Macaca fascicularis: one gene and its partner. Each later gene encodes a partner of the first gene's protein in a complex. Links are inferred from orthologs where the notes say so. Each region holds a gene or a part of one and is shown on either strand. Other genes may lie near its edges.

Region 1 (9,761 bases):
CCAAGTAGCTGGGACCACAGGTATGCACCACCATGTCCAGCTAATTTTTTGTATTTTTTGTAGAGATGGGGTTTTGCCATGTTGTCCAGGCTGATCTTGAACTCCTAGACTGAAGGGATCCACCTGCCTCTGCCTCCCAAAAGTGTTGGGATTACAGGCGCGAGTCACCGCATCTGCCACCTTCTTTCTACATATAGGAGGTTACATTATAAAAAGTGTTGTCGTCCGGGCATGGTGGCTCAAGCCTGTAATCCCAGCACTTTGGGAGGCCGAGGCGGGCAGATCATGAGGTCAGGAGATTGAGACCACCCTGGCTAACACGGTGAAACCCCGTCTCTACTAAAAATAAAAAAAAAAAAAAATTAGCCAGGCGTGGTGAAGGGTGCCTATAGTCCCAGCTACTTGGGAGGCTGAGACAGGAGAATGGTGTGAACCCCGGAGGCGGAGCTTGCAGTGAGCTGAGATCGTGCCACTGCACTCCAGCCTGGGGAACAGAGCAAGACTCCGTCTCAAAAAAAAAAAAAACAAGTGTTGTCATCTTAACAGAGCATCAGAGAATGCATCAAAGAAATGTAGGGGAAACCTGTAGGTTTTCTGCATTTTGTGATGTTTGTAGTATTTGTCAACTTTTAAAATGTTTGTGTTGGGGCTTCTTTTCTCACTATTCACTTAGTTTTGGATATATAATTTTGTCTTATGTTTCAAAAGAAGACTGCGTAGACGAGTTAACGGCAGGCCTGAGAAGCTCTTCTTCACAGGCAAGCTTGAAGAGTTGGTGTCTGGGAATTTGGGTTTTGGGATGGTTCCCTCCATTCTCTGGAAAGCGTGTCTCACTGTGCCTAGACTGTTTGTACAAACATGGCTCATGCTGAACGCCTGTGTTGCTTCTGGGGGTCTGGAATTTGGGCACATGCTTGGCACAGACTGTGTATGTAACCTTCCCTCCATAAAACCCCAGGGTGCTGAGTGTCTAAGAAGCTTCCCTGGCAGACAGCATTTCACACACACAGCTCCAGCTTCTTCCTGTGGAGTCCACCAGGAGAGCACTTGGCCAGCTCACGCCTGATTTCCTGTGGAATTCATCCCATGCACCTTTTCTCTTTGCTGATTCAGACTTACTATCTTCTCTGTGTAATAATCTTAGCCGTGAGTCTATAGTGAGTCCTTCTAGCAAATTGATTATTCCGGAGGGATCTTGAGGATACTCCTCACGGCCCCTGAATTTGTATAAGCTTTAGGCCTCCAAAATTTGAATCGACCCATGTGTGTACCCTAAAGCTGGAGTACGAGGATCAGAGAACCAAAAGTGTGAGGTAGCAGTGGCCCCATAATCCTAAACCTGGAATGCTGCCAGGTTGGAGGCCTAGTTCCTGAAGGCGAATACTTCCACCAGGGAACACAGCAAAGGTTCCACTGATCTTGAAGTAGCAGCTATCACTGGCCTACTTTGGGCTACTTAGGCTGAATACCAACATCGTCCTCATTTTCCTGAGTTGCTATGGTCACTGCTACACAACTAGGGTGGGCAGTCCACAGAGCTCCCTGGATGTCTAGTCTTCCTGCATGTGGCAAGGACTGTCAGTGGACAGTCGAAACAACGACCCAGTAATGGCCAGGTGCAGTGGCAGGAGGCCGAGGCAGGTGGATCACCTGAGGTCAGGAGTTCAAGACCAGCCTGGTCAACATGGTGAAACCCCATCTCTACTAAAACTACAAAAAAAAAGTCAGCAGGGCATGGTGGCGCATGCCTGTAATCCCAGCTACTTGGGAGGCTGAGGTAGGAGAATCGCTTGAACCCAGGAGCTGGAGGTTGCAGTGAGCTGAGATCGTGCCTCTGCACTCCAGCCTGGGTGACAGTGAGACTCCGTCTCCAAAAAAAAAAAAAAAAAAAAAAAACCAAAAACCTTCCCCAGGCATAGTGGCAGGTGCCTGTAATCCCAGCTTCCCAGCTACTTGGGAGGCTGAGATACAAGAATCACTTGGACCCAGGAGGTGGAGGGAGCAGTGCGCTGATACTGTGCCACAGCACTCCAGCCTGGGTGACAGAGTGAGACTCCATCTCAAAAAAACAAAACAAACAAAATGACCCAGTAAGAACAGGGACAGGAAGAGCTCAGACTGCAAGGGGAGAAGGGCCTGGGCTGCTCCACAGTACGCAGTGTCTGGCTGCAGAGCCAAGGGTGGGGAATCGGTGGTGGCCAGTGGCAGAGGATAGTGGCCTATCATGGCCTCATACCAGCTGCAGCAGCAGGGCTGTGGCTTGCTCACTCATTCTCATGCCTCTCAGTCTTTCAGGAGAGCATAACCACCTCTAAGGGGATGCTGAACTTGGGCCCCTGCAGCAGACTGCATTTCCCCAGCCCACCTGCTGTTCCTACAGTCTAATATTGACACTCCTCTCACTGAAGGGTGGGGTCCCTGTCCCCATCCCTTAAGCCTGGGTAGATGTGTCTGACTGCCTTGACCCACAGAGTCTGGCAGGAGGGACACTATGTGACTTCTGAGGCTAGGTTCTAAAAATATCATGCACATGTTGTCCATCTCATTGTCCTGGAAGGCTACCCTTGGAACCCAGCTGCCATATTGCAAGGAAGCATGGAGAAGCCACAGGTAGGTGTGCTGCCTGACAGCCACAGATGAGGTCCTGGCCAGCCACCAGCATCAGCCACCAAAGATGTGAAAGAGAAAGCTTTAGGATGGCTCCAGCCCCAGCCACCATCTGGCAGCAACTGTAGGAGAGAGCCTACGTGCAAACTACCTAGCTGAGCCTAGATAACCCAAGACTGCAGGACATAATAATAGAATGATTGCTATTTGAAGCCGCTGAGGTTAAGTGGCAAGAGATAAACAGACACACAACCCCTCTCTGGAAAGGATGAGGAAATCTGCAACCTCAAAAGGAAAAGGGAGGCCCACTCGACTGCAGTGTGGAAGCCCGGTGTAAAGGGAGGGCATGAGAGGACTGGAGAGGTGCCAGGTGTGGACCATCCTGGGACACCAGCCTGGTCACTTTTCTAGCACCGCTCTATGCCTTCTCCTGTCAGTGTCGCAACCCACTGGGTTCATCCTTCCACTTCCACACTTGGGGCGCGGGGAAGGGCTGAATGTAGGCACCACTGGTCCCGAGGGCGTGACGGGAATTTCTCCTTCGGCGGGCGCCCACCTCCTGGCACCCGGGACACAGCTCCGGGAACGGCTGCGGGCTCAACCGCTGCTTCCCCGACAGCGCCACCGCAGTTCCCCGGAGACAGAAGTGAAGCCGAACCGCCAGAAACCGTAGATCCAGGGAGGTCGGTGCCGCGAGGAACTCCAGTTCTCCGGGACCGGAAGTGACAGCGGACCGCCGGAAACCGTAGATCCAGGGAGGTCGGGACCGCGGGGAGCTGTAGCTCCCCGGAACCGGAAGTGATAGCGGACCGCCGGAAACCGTAGATTTGGGGAGGTCGGAGCCGCAGGGCGCTGTAGTTCTCCCGCGAATCAGAGAACTAGGCAGAGAGCGGAGCTGGCGGCCGGGCAGCATGGCGGGGCTGGAGCTCTTGTCGGACCAGGGCTACCGGGTGGACGGTCGGCGCGCCGGGGAGCTGCGCAAGATCCAGGCTCGGATGGGCGTGTTCGCGCAGGCTGACGGCTCGGCCTACATCGAGCAGGGCAACACCAAGGCGCTGGCGGTGGTCTACGGCCCGCACGAGGCGAGTGGGCGTGCGGGATGGGAATCGCGTGACCGCGGGATCTGCGGGGCAGCCGGGCTGAGCACAGGTTCGGGGACTTGAGAGGTGCGGCCGGCGCGCCTCAGTCTACACAGCCGATGCTCAGCACTGCATCTCACTCGGAGTAAACGCAAGTCTTTAGTGTGCTGCGCGGTGGTCCTGCCTTTCTCATCGGTCTCTGTGCCTGCGCTCTCCCTCCTCTTTGCGGCTCTTCAACGTGCCAGGCACTCCCCCACTCGCTCCCTCTCCTCTCAGCTCTACTCCGACGTCACTCCTTCTCAGACGGCTTTATCCATGCGGTACTTCTCTCCCTACAATAAACCCTTGTCTTTTGTGCATCTACAATCTCAAATGCCTATTTTGCTTAAGCATTTTCCCGTTTCCTCGCTAGAACATAAGCTTCCTAAGGACAGAAACTACATAAAACTCTCTGGTTTCATTGCTGTGTTTCCAGCGCTGTAACTGTGCCTGGCCAGTGAAGGTATTGAAAGAGTGTTTGTTTAGCGCATGAGGGTAGGAGCTCTGCTTTCCAGGCGGAGGGAACCAGGAGGGCGAAGACCACGGTGGTGAAAACAAGCAAGGCACTCATGCATAACAGAAAGACTGCTGGTGGGGAAAGAGGGGATAACTCTAAATAAGGTTGAGAGTTCCCGGGGAGGTGAGGAATTAGGGTTTTGTAGACCAGGGAAATGATTTGGGATTTTATTTCATATGTAATGTGAAACCTTTGTAAGGTAATTAGGATTTGAGTGTGAAGGTGAGACAGAATCAGCCTTGATGTTTGTAAACTTGGGTTGGCAGGGAATGGGGCAAGGATGGGCACAAGGAAGCCAATTAAAAGATGCCAGAGGGCAACACATGCAAGACAGTGCAAAACAGGGGGCTTTGTTTTGGAGGTAATGTAGTTGCCCCTTGCTGAGGCATTGAAAGTGGAGGGAGAGGCAGACCCACAGAGGACAGTGGCGTGTGAGCTGGAAGGAGTGGGCCTGGCTCATGTGTCCGTCCTCTTCCAGATCCGGGGTTCCCGGGCTCGAGCCCTGCCGGACAGGGCCCTAGTGAACTGTCAATATAGTTCAGCGACCTTCAGCACAGGTGAGCGCAAGCGACGGCCACATGGGGACCGGAAGTCCTGTGAGATGGGCCTGCAGCTCCGCCAGACTTTCGAGGCAGCCATCCTTACACAGCTGCACCCACGTTCCCAGATTGATATCTATGTGCAGGTGAGCCGGCTGCAGTGTCAATCCAGGGAGGGGTGGGTGTGATGGGGTTGGGGAGAGAGTCTGATAGACTCACACCCTGGGGTCCCTGCAGGTGCTACAGGCAGATGGTGGGACCTATGCAGCTTGTGTGAATGCGGCCACACTGGCAGTGCTGGATGCTGGGATACCCATGAGAGACTTTGTGTGTGCGTGCTCAGCTGGCTTTGTGGACGGCACAGCCCTGGCGGACCTCAGCCATGTGGAGGAAGCAGCTGGTGGCCCCCAGCTGGCCCTGGCCCTGCTGCCAGCCTCAGGACAGATTGCGCTGCTTGAGATGGATGCCCGGCTGCACGAGGACCACCTGGAGCGGGTGTTGGAGGCTGCTGCCCAGGCTGCTCGAGATGTGCACACCCTCTTGGACAGAGTGGTCAGGCAGCATGTGCGTGAGGCCTCTATCTTGCTGGGGGACTGACCACCCAGCCACCCATGTCCAGAATAAAACCCTCCTCTGCCCACACAACCCTCACTGTACGTTAATCACCCAATAGCACTTCAGAGCCATGTGAAGCCTGGCAGAGCCTGGTCTGGTGCTGGCTCCTGGGGATGACCAGGGCCCCTCGCCCACACATGAACTGCCTATCTCTGTGTAGCCTAATTCAAACCCTGAAAAGAACAGTGGATTAGGGGGTTGCTGTGGGGGAGGTCCTGGGTGGAAAAAGCAACATGTCCCAGTAAGGACTCAAGGCAGCTGAGCAGGAGGCAGGGCCTGGCAAGATGAGCAGGTCATTGGACTGAGGAATCTGTTACCCTTACTCTGGCACATCCGGGGCCCTGAGCAAAGGGCTGAGGGAGAACTCAGCTGGCTCTGAGTACCCAACCTAGAGATGTGGGGGCCATGTCCCATGGCCTCTGGACTATGGCCTGGAGCCCCTTGGGCTTTTCCTGCTGCTTACCTTGGGCTCTAAAAAATGCAACAGCCAGGCATGGTGGCTCACACCTGTAATCCCAGAACTTTGAGAGGCTGAGGCAGGCGGATTGCTTCAGGTCAGGAATTTGAGACCATCCTGGCCAACATGGTGAAACCCCGTCTCTACGAAAAATACAAAATTAGCTGGGGGTGGTGGCACATGCCTGTAATCTGAGTTACTCAGGAGGCTGAGGCAGGAGAATCTCTTGAACCGGGGAGGCGGAGGTTGCAGTGAGCCGAGATCGTGCCACTGCACTGCAGCCTGGGCGACAGAGCAAGACTCCATCTAAAAAAAATAAAAGTACAAAAATTACCTGTTCTCATGGATCACTTGAGGTCAGGAGTTCGAGACCAGCCTGGCCAACATGGTGAAACCCCATCTCTACTAATACAAAAATTAGTGTGGTGGCAGGTACTTGTAGTCCCAGCTACTAGGGAGGCTGGGGCAGGAGAATCACTTGAACCAGAGATGAAGGTCACAGTTAGCCAAGATAGCACCACTGCACTCCAGCCTGGATGACAGCAAGACTCTGTCTCAAAAAAAAAAAAAAAAAAAAAATTGTTCTCACATGGAGTCTTCAGTTTTGACCCTTCTCTCTGCCCACCACTATTTATTTGTTGAGACATAGTCTTGCTCTGTGCTCAGGCTGGAGTGCAGTGGTGTGATCACGGCTCACTGCAGTCTCAATCTCCTAGGCTCAAGTGATCCTCCCACTTTGGCCTCCTGAACTAAGACTACAGGCATGTCCCACCTACCTGGCTAATTTAAAAAGAATTTTTTTGTGTGTAGAGACTGGGTCTCATTTTGTTGTCCAGGCTGGTCTCAAAGGATCCTCCCACCTCACCTTCCCAAAGTGCATCCTCTTCTTGAGCAAACTACCCCTTCATTCACCTCTGGCCCACAGACCTGCCGGAGCCCTGACTACCAGCTCCTGCAGTGTGGACCCTGGGGCTGCTGCTCCCCTAATATTCCAAGGATCTCTTGGCCTGGACAGGGACAGTATGCTCCCCTACTTTATACTGCACACACCCCAGCTCTAGTGAAGCCCATTTTGGCCAGTAGTGCTATCAGCATCTCTGCGGTCATCTGACTCAGAAAACCTTGGTGCTGGGCTCATGCTGTGACTCCACTGGGACGTCCTGAGTCATTGACAGTATCGCTTGGCATCCATTCTCTGACCGCCGCCGGCTTTCCACCCACCTGCCCTGTTGTGGGAAGTCAGGGACCCCGAACAGAGGTAACCGCTAAAGCCATGACAGAACATAAATTGTAAAGATTTCATGGACGGCCAGGCGCGGTGGCTCAAGCCTGTAATCCCAGCACTTTGGGAGACCAAGACGGGTGGATCACGAGGTCAGGAGATCGAGACCATCCTGGCTAACACGGTGAAACCCCGTCTCTACTTAAAAAAATACAAAAACTAGCGGGGCGAGGTGGCGGGTGCCTGTAGTCCCAGCTACTCGGGAGGCTGAGGCAGGAGAATGGCGTAAACCCGGGAGGCGGAGCTTGCAGTGAGCTGAGATTGCGCCACTGCACTCCAGCCTGGGCGACAGAGTGAGACTCCGTCTCAAAAAAAAAAAAGATTTCATGGCCATTTATCCCTTCCCCAATCAATACTCTTGTGATTTCCTATGCCTGTCTTTAATCTCTTAATCCCATCATCTTCATAAGCTGAGGATGTATATCAGCTCATGACCCTGTGATGATTGCGTTAACTGCACAGATTGTTCGTTTAATGCATGTGTGTTTAAACAATATGAAATCTGGGCACCTTGAAAAAAGAACAGGGTAACAGCGATCTTGGGGAACAAGGGAGATAACCTTAAAGTCTGGCTGCCTGTGGGCCAGGCAGGACAGAGCCATATTTCTCTTGTTACTGAAAACGGGTAAGAGAAGTATCGCTGAATTCTTTCCCCAGTAAGGAATATTAATAATTAACAGCCCTGGGGGAAAAGAATGCATTCCTAGGGGAGGCCTCTGAAATGGCCGCTCTGGCGGTGTCTGCCTTATGCAGATGTAGATGGGGATGAAGTGCCCTAGTGTCCTGCAGCGCCCCCAGGCTCGCTAGGATTAGGAAGTTCCAGCCTGGCGAATTCTAGTCAGACCGGTTCTCTGCTCTTGAACCCTGACAATGCGTGCACAGCCGGACATGGAAATTCATTAGTGATTCGAGTTTCGCCATGGCCTTCTGCTTTGTGATCTTTTGTCGCCCTTGAAGCATGTGATCTCTGTGACCCACACCCTATTCGTACACTCCCTCCCTTTTGAAAATTGCTAATAAAAACTTGCTGGTTTTATGGCTGGAGGGCATCATGGAACCTGCCGACATGTGATGTCTCCCCCGGACACCCAGCTTTAAAATTTCTCTCTTTTGTACTCTTTCCCTTTATTTCTCAGACCAGCCCCACTTAGGGAAAATAGAAAAGGACCCACGTCGAATATCGGGGGTGGGTTTCCCGCGATACTGCCCGGCTCATCACCTCTGACTCCTGCGGGCCTTCCAGTGGGCGATAGCTCGCTGCCCCGACCAGCTCGGCCTGCTGTCGGGCATCTTCTCTGCTCTCCTCCGACTGTAGGGCTACCTGCCTCCCTCCGGGGCGGTGCACTGCGGGTCCGACTCTCCTGGGGGCAGCGCCTAGCGGACTCCCCAACCCGCTCGCGTCCTTCCGGCTTCACCAGCACCGCCCACCCTGCAGCCAGCCGCTGTCTGGGCTTGCGCGCCGCCGGCAGTACGGGGTGTTGGGGGCGCGTCTTGTGCTCCGGACATGCGCGCCGTCGCGGGCGCCGCTGGGACCGGAAGTGCGGGCGAGCGCGGTCCACGGGTCTGACAGGAGCAGCCTGCGGGCACCGCGGCGGTAGTTGGAGGCGGCAGAGGGTCCGGAGACGGCAGAGGGTCCGTCGCCGCGCCGCCCTGCCCCGCCATGGGCCTCCTGTCGGACCCCGTTCGCCGGCGCGCGCTCGCCCGCCTCGTGCTGCGCCTCAACGCGCCGCTGTGGTGAGAACAGGGCCCGGGGAGGCGGGGACCCGAAAGCCCTGGAACTCGCGCTGGCGGCGGCCCTTGCGCGGTGCCCATCGAGGGCCGGGGCCGCTCCGGCTGCTCGCTCCCCTCCGGCTGCTCGCGCCCTTCCGCTGCTGCCCTCTGGAAGCACTGAGGGTATCAGGCCCAGGCTCAGCCCTCCGGTCCGGCGTCCCGATGCCAGGACTCCGGGTTTAGGTCTCAGACCCGCGCGATCGACCCCGGGTGCGGAGGCTGTGGCCTCGGGTCGGCGTCTCAGGACCCGCTGACGCTCCGGTGCCCCTCCGTCCTCTCTCACAGCGTGCTGAGCTACGTGGCGGGCATCGCCTGGTTCTTGGCGCTGGTTTTCCCGCCGCTGACCCAGCGCACTTACATGTCGGAGAACGCCATGGGCTCCACCATGGTGGAGGAGCAGTTTGCGGGCGGAGACCGTGCCCGGGCTTTTGCACGGGACTTCGCTGCCCACCGCAAGAAGTCGGGGTGAGCGGCAGAGCAGGGCGTATGGGGCGAGCAGTGGTGGCTGAGGCCGGGGAGCTCTGCTCATAGGCTCCCTTCGTGTTTGCAGGGCTCTACCAGTGGCCTGGCTTGAACGGACGATGCGGTCAGTAGGGCTGGAGGTCTACACGCAGAGTTTCTCCCGGAAACTGCCCTTCCCAGATGAGACCCACGAGCGCTATGTACTGGGGGAGTGGGGTGTGCCTGGGCCCAGAAAGCACCTTGGAGGGAGGGGTCTGGGCTGGGTATCACCTTGGCGGGTGTCATGGGGCCAGGAAGCTCAGTGGGAGGGGAAATCCCTGGTGGGCATTGGAGGGCTAGAAAAGGGGGGGCTTCAGCGCCCTACCACAGTTACACTGAGGTCCCCCCCCATACT
Region 2 (10,211 bases), on another chromosome or scaffold:
GCCAAAATACTTTTTGTAGTATTAGCATGCAAATCCAATGCATTCCTCATTTGTAATAAACTCGAATTATATGCTACTTCACACCTCTTCTAGTCTTAAAAAAAAAAAACTTCTGTTCTCCACTTTTCAGATCATTCTCAACCACGTCCTAAATTCCTGAGCGCTACAGGAAATGCCTGCCTCAAGGACTAGATTTACCCAATTCCTTAGGGTTCAATTCTGTCCCTAAGCAGTTCTGTAGCCTCGGACAAATCATTCAACCCTGCTGGGACTCAATCTCCTTGTGTTCACATTCAGTGAGGGAGTGGGATTAAATGCTGAAGTCCCTTCCAGCTCTCACCCTTATTGATTCTGTAACTATACGGATACAGTCAACGCCCGTATCTGCGGAGGGATTGGTTCCAGTCCTCCCTTCAGATACCAAAATCTATGGATGCTCAAATCTGTTATAAAATGGCATAGGCCGGGCGCGGTGGCTCAAGCCTGTAATCCCAGCACTTTGGGAGGCCGAGACGGGCGGATCACGAGCTCAGGAGATCGAGACCATCCTGGCTAACACGGTGAAACCCCGTCTCTACTACAAAATACAAAAAAACTAGCCGGGCGAGGTGGCGGGCGCCTGTAGTCCCAGCTACTTGGGAGGCTGAGGCAGGAGAATGGCGTAAACCCGGGAGGCGGAGCTTGCAGTGAGCTGCGATCTGGCCACTGCACTGCAGCCTGGGCGACAGAGAGAGACTCCGTCTCAAAAATAAATAAATAAATAAAATAAAATGGCATAGTATTTGCATATAACCTATACATATCCTCCCATATACTTTAAATCATTTCTAGATTACTCATAATACCTAATACAAAGTAAATGCTACACATAAACACTTTTTTTGTTTGTTTTTGAGATGAAGTCTTGCTCTGTTGCCCAGGCTGAAGTACAGTGGCAAGATCTCGGCTCACTGCAACCTCTGTCTCCTGGGTTCAAGCAATTCTCCCTGCCTCTGCCTCCCAAGTAGCTGGGATTACAGGCACCCGTCACCTCCCCCAGCAAATGTTTGTATTTTTAATAGAGACAGGGTTTCACAATGTTGGCAAGGCTGGTCTTAAACTCCTGACCTCAGGTGATCTGCCTGCCTTGGCCTCCCAAAGTGCTGGGATTATAGGCGTAAGCCACCACCCCCGGCTGCCCCCAAGTATTTCCAATCCATGGTTGGTTGAATCTGCGATGTGAAGCTCACAGGTATGAAGGGCAAACTGTATTTGGTAAGTGTAAATGAAATGTTTATAAAGCACTTAGCACAATACTTGGCTCATGGAAGTACTCAAATATTTGTTGAACGAATGACCTGGAGGGATGCAGAAGTGGAAAGCCTGGCCAGATGTCTATCTGTCCTACAAATACCAACAAGGACACTCTTGCCAATGTGATAACTCTAAATAAGTGTCTCCTGCTATCATTCTGTCTGATTAATAAAGAGAGAAATACAAACTGTTATTAAAATCATGGCACTTAGGAGCTAGAAGTCATTTTTGAAAACAAGCCCAACCAGAAATCAGCCCAACCGTGTAAATAGAAAGCTCCTAGATGCACAGATACAGATTTGGGTGAACAAAGTCTGAAGCTAGGGCCTCTCTCCATTAGCTAATGGGGTACAGGGTGCCAGGAAATTGATATATGTAGTAAGTGGGCTGCAACTGAACATACAAACTTTTTTTTTTTTTTTTTTTGAGACTGAGTTTTGCTCTTGTTGCCCAGGCTGGAGTGCAATGGCACAATCTGGGCTCACCACAACCTCCGCCTCCTGGGTTCAAGCAATTCTCCTGCCTCAGCCTCCTGAGTAGCTGGGATTACAGGCATGCACCCCCACGCCCGGCTAATTTTGTATTTTTTTAGTACAGACGGGGTTTCTCCATGTAGGTCAGGCTGGTCTCGAACTCCCAACCTCAGGTGATGCGCCTGCCTCAGCCTCCCAAAGTGCTGGGATTACAGGCGGGCCACCGCACCTGGCCCAGACTTTTCATCTCAGGAAATAGAGGTAAAGCAAAATTCAAAAATATGTGTGTAGGGAAGAAGGGGGTAATCTCAGTGAACAGGGGAGGAAACAGAGCAAAGCGCAGCTTTACTACCACCCCAAGCACAAGCCCGAGTACTCTCATCCCTCAGTAACAGTCACAGGCCATAGTGGTCGTCTGCCACCAGACAGGAGGAGATTGCAGGCCACAGCACTTCCCTCTTCCAATGGCTCTAAGTCACCATCTGTTTCCCAAGGGGAAAGTCGACTGAGGGGACAGGGAGGGACAGGCGGCAAAGCCATCAGAAGTCAGGTGAACTGAGATCAAAGTCGTGGGCAATGTCATCTGGACAAGGACGCTGCTCTCGGGATGTTTGCAATCTCAAGTAGGAGATACCAGACATCAATAAAGAGTAGCATTTTATTCACGTGCAGACCTCCCTTCTGGGGTAACACGCTGAGAAGAAAAAGTAGCAACTTTATTTTGGGGCTGCTTATCTTTTGATGACGGGCCCACACAACCAGAGTTCGGCTTTTTCAACCTGAGAAAGCTTACTTAAGTGGGGATGGGAGGCCGCGAAGGGGATCGGACCGCAGGACTGGAAGCTACAGTTAAAAAACCGGGAAAAGGCCGGGCGCGGTGGCTCACTTTGGGAGGAATCACCTGTAATTCCTGCACTTTGGGAGGCTGAGGCGGGCGGCTCAAGAGATCGAGACCATCCTGGCCAACATAGTGAAACCCCGTCTCTACTGAAAATACAAAAATTAGCTGGGCGTGATGGCGCGCGCCTGTAGTCCCAGCTGCGCGGGAGGCTGAGGCAGGAGAATCGCTTGATGCCAGGAGGCGGAGGTTGCAGTGCGCAGAGATCGCGCCACTGCACTCCAGCCTGGCCAAAGAGCGAGACTCCTTTTCAAAAACAAAACAAAACAAAAACCGGGAAAAGGTTTTATTTCTCAATGACAGCCGCGAGGTGAAACTGCGATGGACTGGAAGTCAAAAATCGCGGGTTCCAGTTTGGGCTCTATCTTGAAGATTTTGGACAAGTCAAACCCGGTCTCTGAATCTGAGGTTCCACATCTGTGAAACAGACGAGTTGGGTCGCTTGACCTCCTTCCTTCCTGCTCTGAACGTAACGGTTGCTCGCAAGGTGCGCTCCGGCTGAGGAGGGCGCAGCCCCGCAGGGCAGGGCGAGGAGAGAGCAGGAACCCGGACTCAAGACAAGGCCCCAGGGCATTGCCCGACCCAGAAAAAGGGACTAGGATGGGGAGCAAGGGCCGAGGCTTCGCCCTTACCTGCCGCCTGCCGACTCCCCAGTCAGCCAAACCGAGCCCCGCAGCCTCTGCCGCCGCTCACTGCCACCGCCTCCGACTCGGCGCCCCGGCCGGGCCCGGCTCAATCCAAACCACCATGGCCCGCCGCCTGCAGTGCCACCCAGCGGACCCGGACCTGCCGCCAGCCCATCCTCAACCACACGCGCAGGCGCAAGCATGGAGCGCTGAAGTTCCGCCCCCGGATTTGTCCCGGGGTAACCTGGGAAATGGAGTTTACACGCAAGGATAAAGAACACCAATTGACGCGTATCTTACTGCGGAACTGTGCCTGGGTTTGGCCAATGAGAAATCGATTTCGTTTTCATCCGGGTTTTGGGACAGCGGCAATCATGGCACCACCTGTGAGATACTGTATTCCCGGTAAGTGAGCGCTTCCCGTACAGAGTCCTGGATAGGGGCCGAAGCAAGAAGCCTGGACGGCCTGCAGTTTCTGGGGGCCCATGACCGATGCAGCATTTTTTCTGCAGGCGAACGTCTGTGTAACTTGGAGGAGGGCAGCCCGGGCAGCGGCACCTACACCCGCCACGGCTACATCTTTTCGTCGCTTGCCGGCTGCCTGATGAAGAGCAGCGAGAACGGCGCGGTAAAGGAAGCGGCATGCCGTCTCCTCTCTCTCTGTTTTTCCCTTAGGCTGCCCTTGAGTTCCAGTCCTTAGGCATGGGCACTGCGGACGCGTCTTTAGAGCCTTAGTGGTACAATGTTGGTCTCTTAGTTTCTTCTAGCCGTATCGCCGCTGTTGTGCACTTAGCCACCACACACTAGTTGTGTTGATCTCGCTTGGTTGTGCTGCTGACCCTCGGGGAGGGAGGTTGGGACAAAAGCAGATGCGAACTCAGTAACCCAGCCCAGCTCAGCCCAGCAGTGCGTTGTATACTGTATGAATGTTGCTTACCTCTCCGGCTTTATCTAGTGCCACTATCTCCACCTCACTGACGCAATCTAATCATACAGTCTTTTCTATTTGTAAAAGTTATAATCACAGTTTTGGCTTGCCCTTTTAAAAAAATTTGTAACACACTAGCTTCTTTCAGTGTCGGTAATGTGCCAAGCTTTCTCCTGCTACAGAGCCTTTGTAACATGCCATCTATCTGGAACGCTTCTGTCTTCTTAGGCCTGTTTAATTCCTACCTCCGTTAGTTTCTGTATTATCACCTCAGAGAAGCCCTTCTGGACCCACTAATTGAGGAAAGGAGTTTTGTGGGATGTTTTGTTTTTGTTTGTTTTGTTAAAGACTTACAAAAAACTCTGTCCCTTTTCTTCCAAGCACTTATGTCAGCATATGATTAGACACTCAGGTATGTTTCCCACTAGACTTCTCCCTTGCTTAAATCTAAGTTCCACGAAGTGCAGGTGCTACCACCATACCATCAGTATCTAGCACAAAGCAGCTCCTCAATAAATGTTTGTTGAATGCGTAATACCTACCTTTCTAGTTTTAGAGATTGATCCAGGATTAGCTCAGGATCATATAAGCAATATTTGAAGGAGCACAGTAGAAAGAGGATTCAGAATTAGAACCGTTAGGTTCTGGCTAACTTGACCTCGATTCTGCTTTGAGTAAGTAACTTAAGCCGTCTGACTCAAGGGGCTTTCTATTCAGTCATTGTTGGGAATGTCCTTAACAGTCCTGAGTTTGTTCATTTGATAGATACCACTTGAGTATTTTCATGTGTCAGGCACAGCGCTGACTTGGTTTCTGCTATCAAAGGACACAGACACAAATTGTAAACAAATAAATGCTCAAATAAGCATATGGTTACACATGTGGTGGCTGCTTTGAAAGAATATTACAGGGCACCTTAAGAACATGTAACAGGCAAATCCATCCTAGTCAGCAGAAGTGACATTGAAGCTGAATCATCTAAAGAGTAGGTTAGAGTCAGGTGGGTGGAGAGAGTGCAATTCTGGCAAAAAGAATAGGTTGAAGAGAGATCTGAAAGTGGGAAGAATTTAGTAAGTTGGGGAAACTGAAAGAAGGCCAGGAGAGCTGAAGCATTGTAAGCAACGGAGAGATTGTTAAAAGATGAGGCTCAAAATATCTGTCTCATACTAACAGCCAATACCATGCTCAAAGAGAAAACTCTGCAAGTATTCACTTAAAACAAGTGTAGCTACTATTTGTAACATTTCTGTGGAAATTTCAGCCTGTGCAGTAAAATAAGAAACAGAAAGAAGCAGTATAACTTTGGAGGAAAGAATAAAATTGTCAGCCAGATGTAGTGGCTCACGCCTGTAATCCCAGCACTTTGGGAAGCCAAGGTGGGTTGATCACCTGAGGTCAGGTGTTCGAGACCAGTCTGACCAACATGGTGAAACCCCATCTCTACTAAAAATACAAAAAATTACCCGAGCATGGTGGCAGGCGTCTGTAATCCCAACTACTCGGGAGGCTGAGGCAGGAGAATCACTTGAACCCAGGAGGTGGAGGTTGCAGTGAACCGAGATGGCGCCATTGCACTCCACTCTGGGCAACAAGAGTGAAACTCCATCTCAAAAAAAAAACCAAAAAAAGTAAAATTGTCAATGATTATAGGCAATATAGTTGTATACCAAGAAATTCTGAGAGAATCACCAGAAAACTTATTGGAAGTTTAGGGATTTACTACAAAAAAAATTAGCCGGGCGTGGTGGCAGGTGCCTGTAGTCTCAGCTACTTGGGAGGCTGAGGCTGGAGAATGGCATGAACCCGGGAGGTGGAGCTTGCAGTGAGCCGAGAATATGCCACTGCACTCCAGCCTGGGCAACAGAGCAAGACTCCATCTCCAACGACAACAACAAAAAAAGAAGTTTAGAGGTTTACATCTTCTAGCAGCATTCTGTAGCCCCCTGGTCCTCCTATTTCCTAAAATTTCTAAGGCCTTCTGCTCTGGCCTATAAATGAATGCATACTCCAGCTCTCACCTGTGTACCAAGACATTCCTATATTACTCTCAAGACACAAATGCTTTGACCCAAGAGTTAGCCAGGACATTTCAGTTTTTTCTTTTTCCCTCCGTAGCTTCCTGTGGTGTCTGTAGTAAGAGAAACAGAGTCCCAGTTACTGCCAGATGTCGGAGCTATTGTAACCTGTAAGGTAAGTTTGTCCTAACTTCCATGCTTAGAATGCCCATTCAGTGCTGAAATCATGACCATGCCAGAACTGCAGTGTCCAGTATGATAGCCACAAGCTACATAAATGTATTTCTGGCGGGGCACAATGGCTCACACTGGTAATTCTTACACTTTAAGAGGCCAAGGCAGGCTGGGCGCAGTGGCTCACGCCTATAATCCCAGTGCTTTGGGAGGCCAAGGGGGACTGATCACAAGGTCAGGAGATTGAGACCATCCTGGCTAACACGGTGAAACCCCGTCTCTACTAAAAATACAAAAAAAATGAGCAGGGCATGGTGGCGGGTACCTGTAGTCCCAGCTATGTGGGAGGCTGAGGCAGGAGAATGGCGTGAACCCGGGAGGCGGAGCTTGCAGTGAGCTGAGATCGCGCCACTGCACTCTAGCCTGGGCAACAGAGCGAAATTCTGTCTCAAAGGAAAAAAAAAGGCCGGGCGCGGTGGCTCAAGCCTGTAATCCTAGCACTTTGGGAGGCCGAGACGGGCGGATCACGAGGTCAGGAGATCGAGACCATCCTGGCTAACACGGTGAAACCCCGTCTCTACTAAAAATACAAGAAAATTAGCCGGGCGAGGTGGCAGGCGCCTGTAGTCCCAGCTACTCGGGAGGCTGAGGCAGGAGAATGGCGTGAACCCGGGGGGGCGGAGCTTGCAGTGAGCCGAGATCGTGCCACTGCACTCCAGCCTGGGGCACAGAGCAAGACTCCGTCTCAAAAAAAAAAAAAAAAAAAGAAAAAAAAAAAAAAAAAGAGGCCGAGGCAGGAGGATTGCTTCAACCCAGAGTTCAAGACCAGCCTGGGAAACATAGTGAAACCTCATCTCTACAAAAAGAATCAAAAATTGCTGGGCACTGTGGCTCACGCCTGTAATCCCAGCACTTTGGGAGGCCAAGGTGGGTAGATCACCTGAGGTCAGGAGTTCGAGACCAGCCTGGCCAATCATGGCTAACATGATGAAACCCCATCTCTACTAAAAATACAAAAATTAGCTCAATGTGGTGGCACATGCCTATAATCCCAGCTACTCGGGAGTCTGAGGCAGGAGATTTGCTTGAACCCGGGAGGCCGAGGTTTCAATGAGTCCGCGTCACGGCACTCCAGCCTGGACAACAGAGTGAGACTCTGAAAATTAAATAAATAAATAAATAAAAATAAAAAATTAGCCAGGCATGGTAGCACATGCCTGTGGTCCCAACTACTTGGTAGGCTGAGGCAGGAGGATCGCTTGAACCCAGGGGGTTGGGGCTGCAGTGAGCCATGATCACTGCAGCCTGGGTAACGACAAGACTTGTCTCTCAAAAATAAGGGCTGGGCGCGGTGGCTCACGCCTGTAATCCCAGCACTTTGGGAGGCCGAGACGGGCGGATCATGAGGTCAGGAGATCGAGACCATCCTGGCTAACACGGTGAAACCCCGTCTCTACTAAAAAAATACAAAAAAATTAGCCGGGGCCGGGCGCGGTGGCTCAAGCCTGTAATCCCAGCACTTTGGGAGGCCGAGGCGGGCGGATCACAAGGTCAGGAGATCGAGACCGCAGTGAAACCCCGTCTCTACTAAAAATACAAAAAATTAGCCGGGCGCGGTGGCGGGCGCCTGTAGTCCCAGCTACTCAGGAGGCTGAGGCAGGAGAATGGCGGGAACCCGGGAGGCGGAGCTTCCAGTGAGCCGAGATCGCGCCACTGCACTCCAGCCTGGGCAACAGCGTGAGACTCCGTCTCAAAAAAAAAAAAAAAAATTAGCCGGGCGAAGTGGCGGCGCCTGTAGTCCCAGCTACTCAGGAGGCTGAGGCAGGAGAATGGCGGGAACCCGGGAGGCGGAGCTTGCAGTGAGCTGAGATCCGGCTACTGCACTCCAGCCTGGGCGACAGAGCGAGACTCCTTCTCAAAAAAAATAAATAAATAAAATAAAATAAAATAAAATTGGTTTCCTTAGTCACATTAGCCACATTTCAAGTACTCAGTAGCCACTTGTGGCTAGTGGTTGCTATACTGGTCAGCACATGACTTTTCTGTCACTACATAAAGTTTTACTGGACTGTTCTGGTCTACAGATTTCTAGAATAATAAGGCAGCCAAGGTCAGGCATGCGTAGTTCCTTCACTGAGCTGATTCTCTGAATACAGAGTTTCTACCTGTGTCTGGGAAACAGGGATGCCAGAGGATGATTGGGAAGCCTATTTTTGAACATCTGAAGCTGAGACCTTTTTCTGCAGAGAAGCAAAAGACTTTTATTTTCTAGCATTCCTTGATTTTTTTCCTTTTTAGATTTTTTTTTTTTTTTTTTTTGAGACAGGGCCTTGCTCTGTCACCCAGGCTGGAGTGCAGTGGCACGATCTTGGCTCACTGCAGCCTCTGCCTCTTGGGTTCAAGTGATTCTACTGCCTCTGCCTCCCGAGTAGCTGGGATTATAGGCGTATGCTGCCACGCCTAGCTAATTTTTGTATTTTTAGTACAGATGGGGTTTTACCAGGTTGGCCAGGCTGGTCCCGAACTCCTGACCTCAAGTGATGTGCCCACCTCAGCCTCCCAAAGTGCTGGGATTACAGGCATGAGCCACCGTGTCCAGCCTTTTTTTTTTTTTTTTCCAATGTTAGCCATCTATACTTTAAAAAATCTATACTTCTCTGAAGGGCAAGTTGTGAAAAGACCAAAAAAATAAAAGCTGGGAGTGGTGGCTCACGCCTGTAATCCCACCACTTTCGGAGGCCGAGGCGGGCGGATCACAAGGTCAGGAGATCGAGACCATCCTGGCTAACATGGTGAAACCTCGTCTCCACTAAAAAATTAGCCGGGCGTGGCGGCATGTGCCTGTTGTCCCAGCTGCTGGGGAGGCTGAGGCAGGAGAATGGCATGAACTTGGGAGGCAGAGCTTGCAGTGAGCCGAGATCGTGCCACTGTACTCCAGCCTGGGTGACAGAGCAAGACTCTGTCTCAAAAAAAAAAAAAAAAAAAAAAACTGCAGGGTGTGGTGGCTGACGTCTATAATCCCGGCACTTTGGGAGGCCGAGGCAGGCGGATCACCTGAGGTCAGGAGTTTGAGACCAGCCTGACCAACATGGAGAAACCCTGTCTCTACTAAAAATACAAAATTAGCCAGGCATGGTGGTGCATGCCTTTAATCCCAGCTCCTCAGGAGGCTGAGGCAGGAGAATTCTTTGAACCCGGGAGGCAGAGGTTGCGGTGAGCCAAGATTGCGCCATTGCACTCCAGCCTGGGCACCAAGAGCGAAACTCTGTCTCAAAAAAAAACCCATACCATCTTTGTTTCCCATGGTAACTCTATTAGGTGGCCAGAGTGGCTCTTATTCCCCTTTACATGTGTCACTTATGCAGAGAAGTAGGAGTTAACTTGTCTTAAATTCTCTACTTAGTAGGGTTGCTTGCATTGAAGTCCTAGTAATCCCCAGTTCGTTGCTGCTTCCTTGAGCTGACAACTGCTTATACTCTGATGCTGATCTTTTCTCTATTCCACAGGTCTCTAGTATCAATTCACGCTTTGCCAAAGTACACATCCTATATGTGGGGTCCATGCCACTTAAGAACTCTTTTCGAGGAACTATCCGGTAAGAAGTATCCTTGTCACGTATGCCTTAGCAACTGCAATAAGATTAGGATAGACTAGGACACCAGAATTTTGAGCAACAGTTACAATTCCTATTTTTCTCTTGCCCATTTTTCTTTCTTCTTTGTGCTTTGATTCTCCCCTAGTAGTATCCAAAAATATGTGGATGAGCTAGGACAAAAGGAAAATATTAACAAGAGAGGGTTTAAA

The links.
Region 2: EXOSC4 (region 1) and EXOSC1 share a complex: the UniProt entries of both Homo sapiens proteins name them as parts of the RNA exosome core complex. The link is inferred for Macaca fascicularis from reciprocal best matches to the Homo sapiens genes EXOSC4 and EXOSC1.

Annotation. Positions count from the first base shown.
Region 1 is NC_088382.1:153,747,322-153,757,082, forward strand, and holds EXOSC4 (exosome complex component RRP41), read left to right. Parts: upstream 1-3,410; 5' UTR 3,411-3,518; coding exon 3,519-3,689; exon of another isoform or gene 3,690-4,006; intron 4,007-4,720; coding exon 4,721-4,927; intron 4,928-5,018; coding exon 5,019-5,378; 3' UTR 5,379-5,426; downstream 5,427-9,761. Other genes in the region: GPAA1 (glycosylphosphatidylinositol anchor attachment 1 protein), read left to right, coding at 8,796-8,869, 9,191-9,370, 9,456-9,567. UniProt on the Homo sapiens protein: Non-catalytic component of the RNA exosome complex which has 3'->5' exoribonuclease activity and participates in a multitude of cellular RNA processing and degradation events.
Region 2 is NC_088383.1:106,393,665-106,403,875, reverse strand, and holds the start of EXOSC1 (exosome complex component CSL4), read left to right. Parts: upstream 1-3,642; 5' UTR 3,643-3,664; coding exon 3,665-3,695; intron 3,696-3,802; coding exon 3,803-3,918; intron 3,919-6,333; coding exon 6,334-6,408; intron 6,409-9,913; coding exon 9,914-10,002; intron 10,003-10,211. UniProt on the Homo sapiens protein: Non-catalytic component of the RNA exosome complex which has 3'->5' exoribonuclease activity and participates in a multitude of cellular RNA processing and degradation events.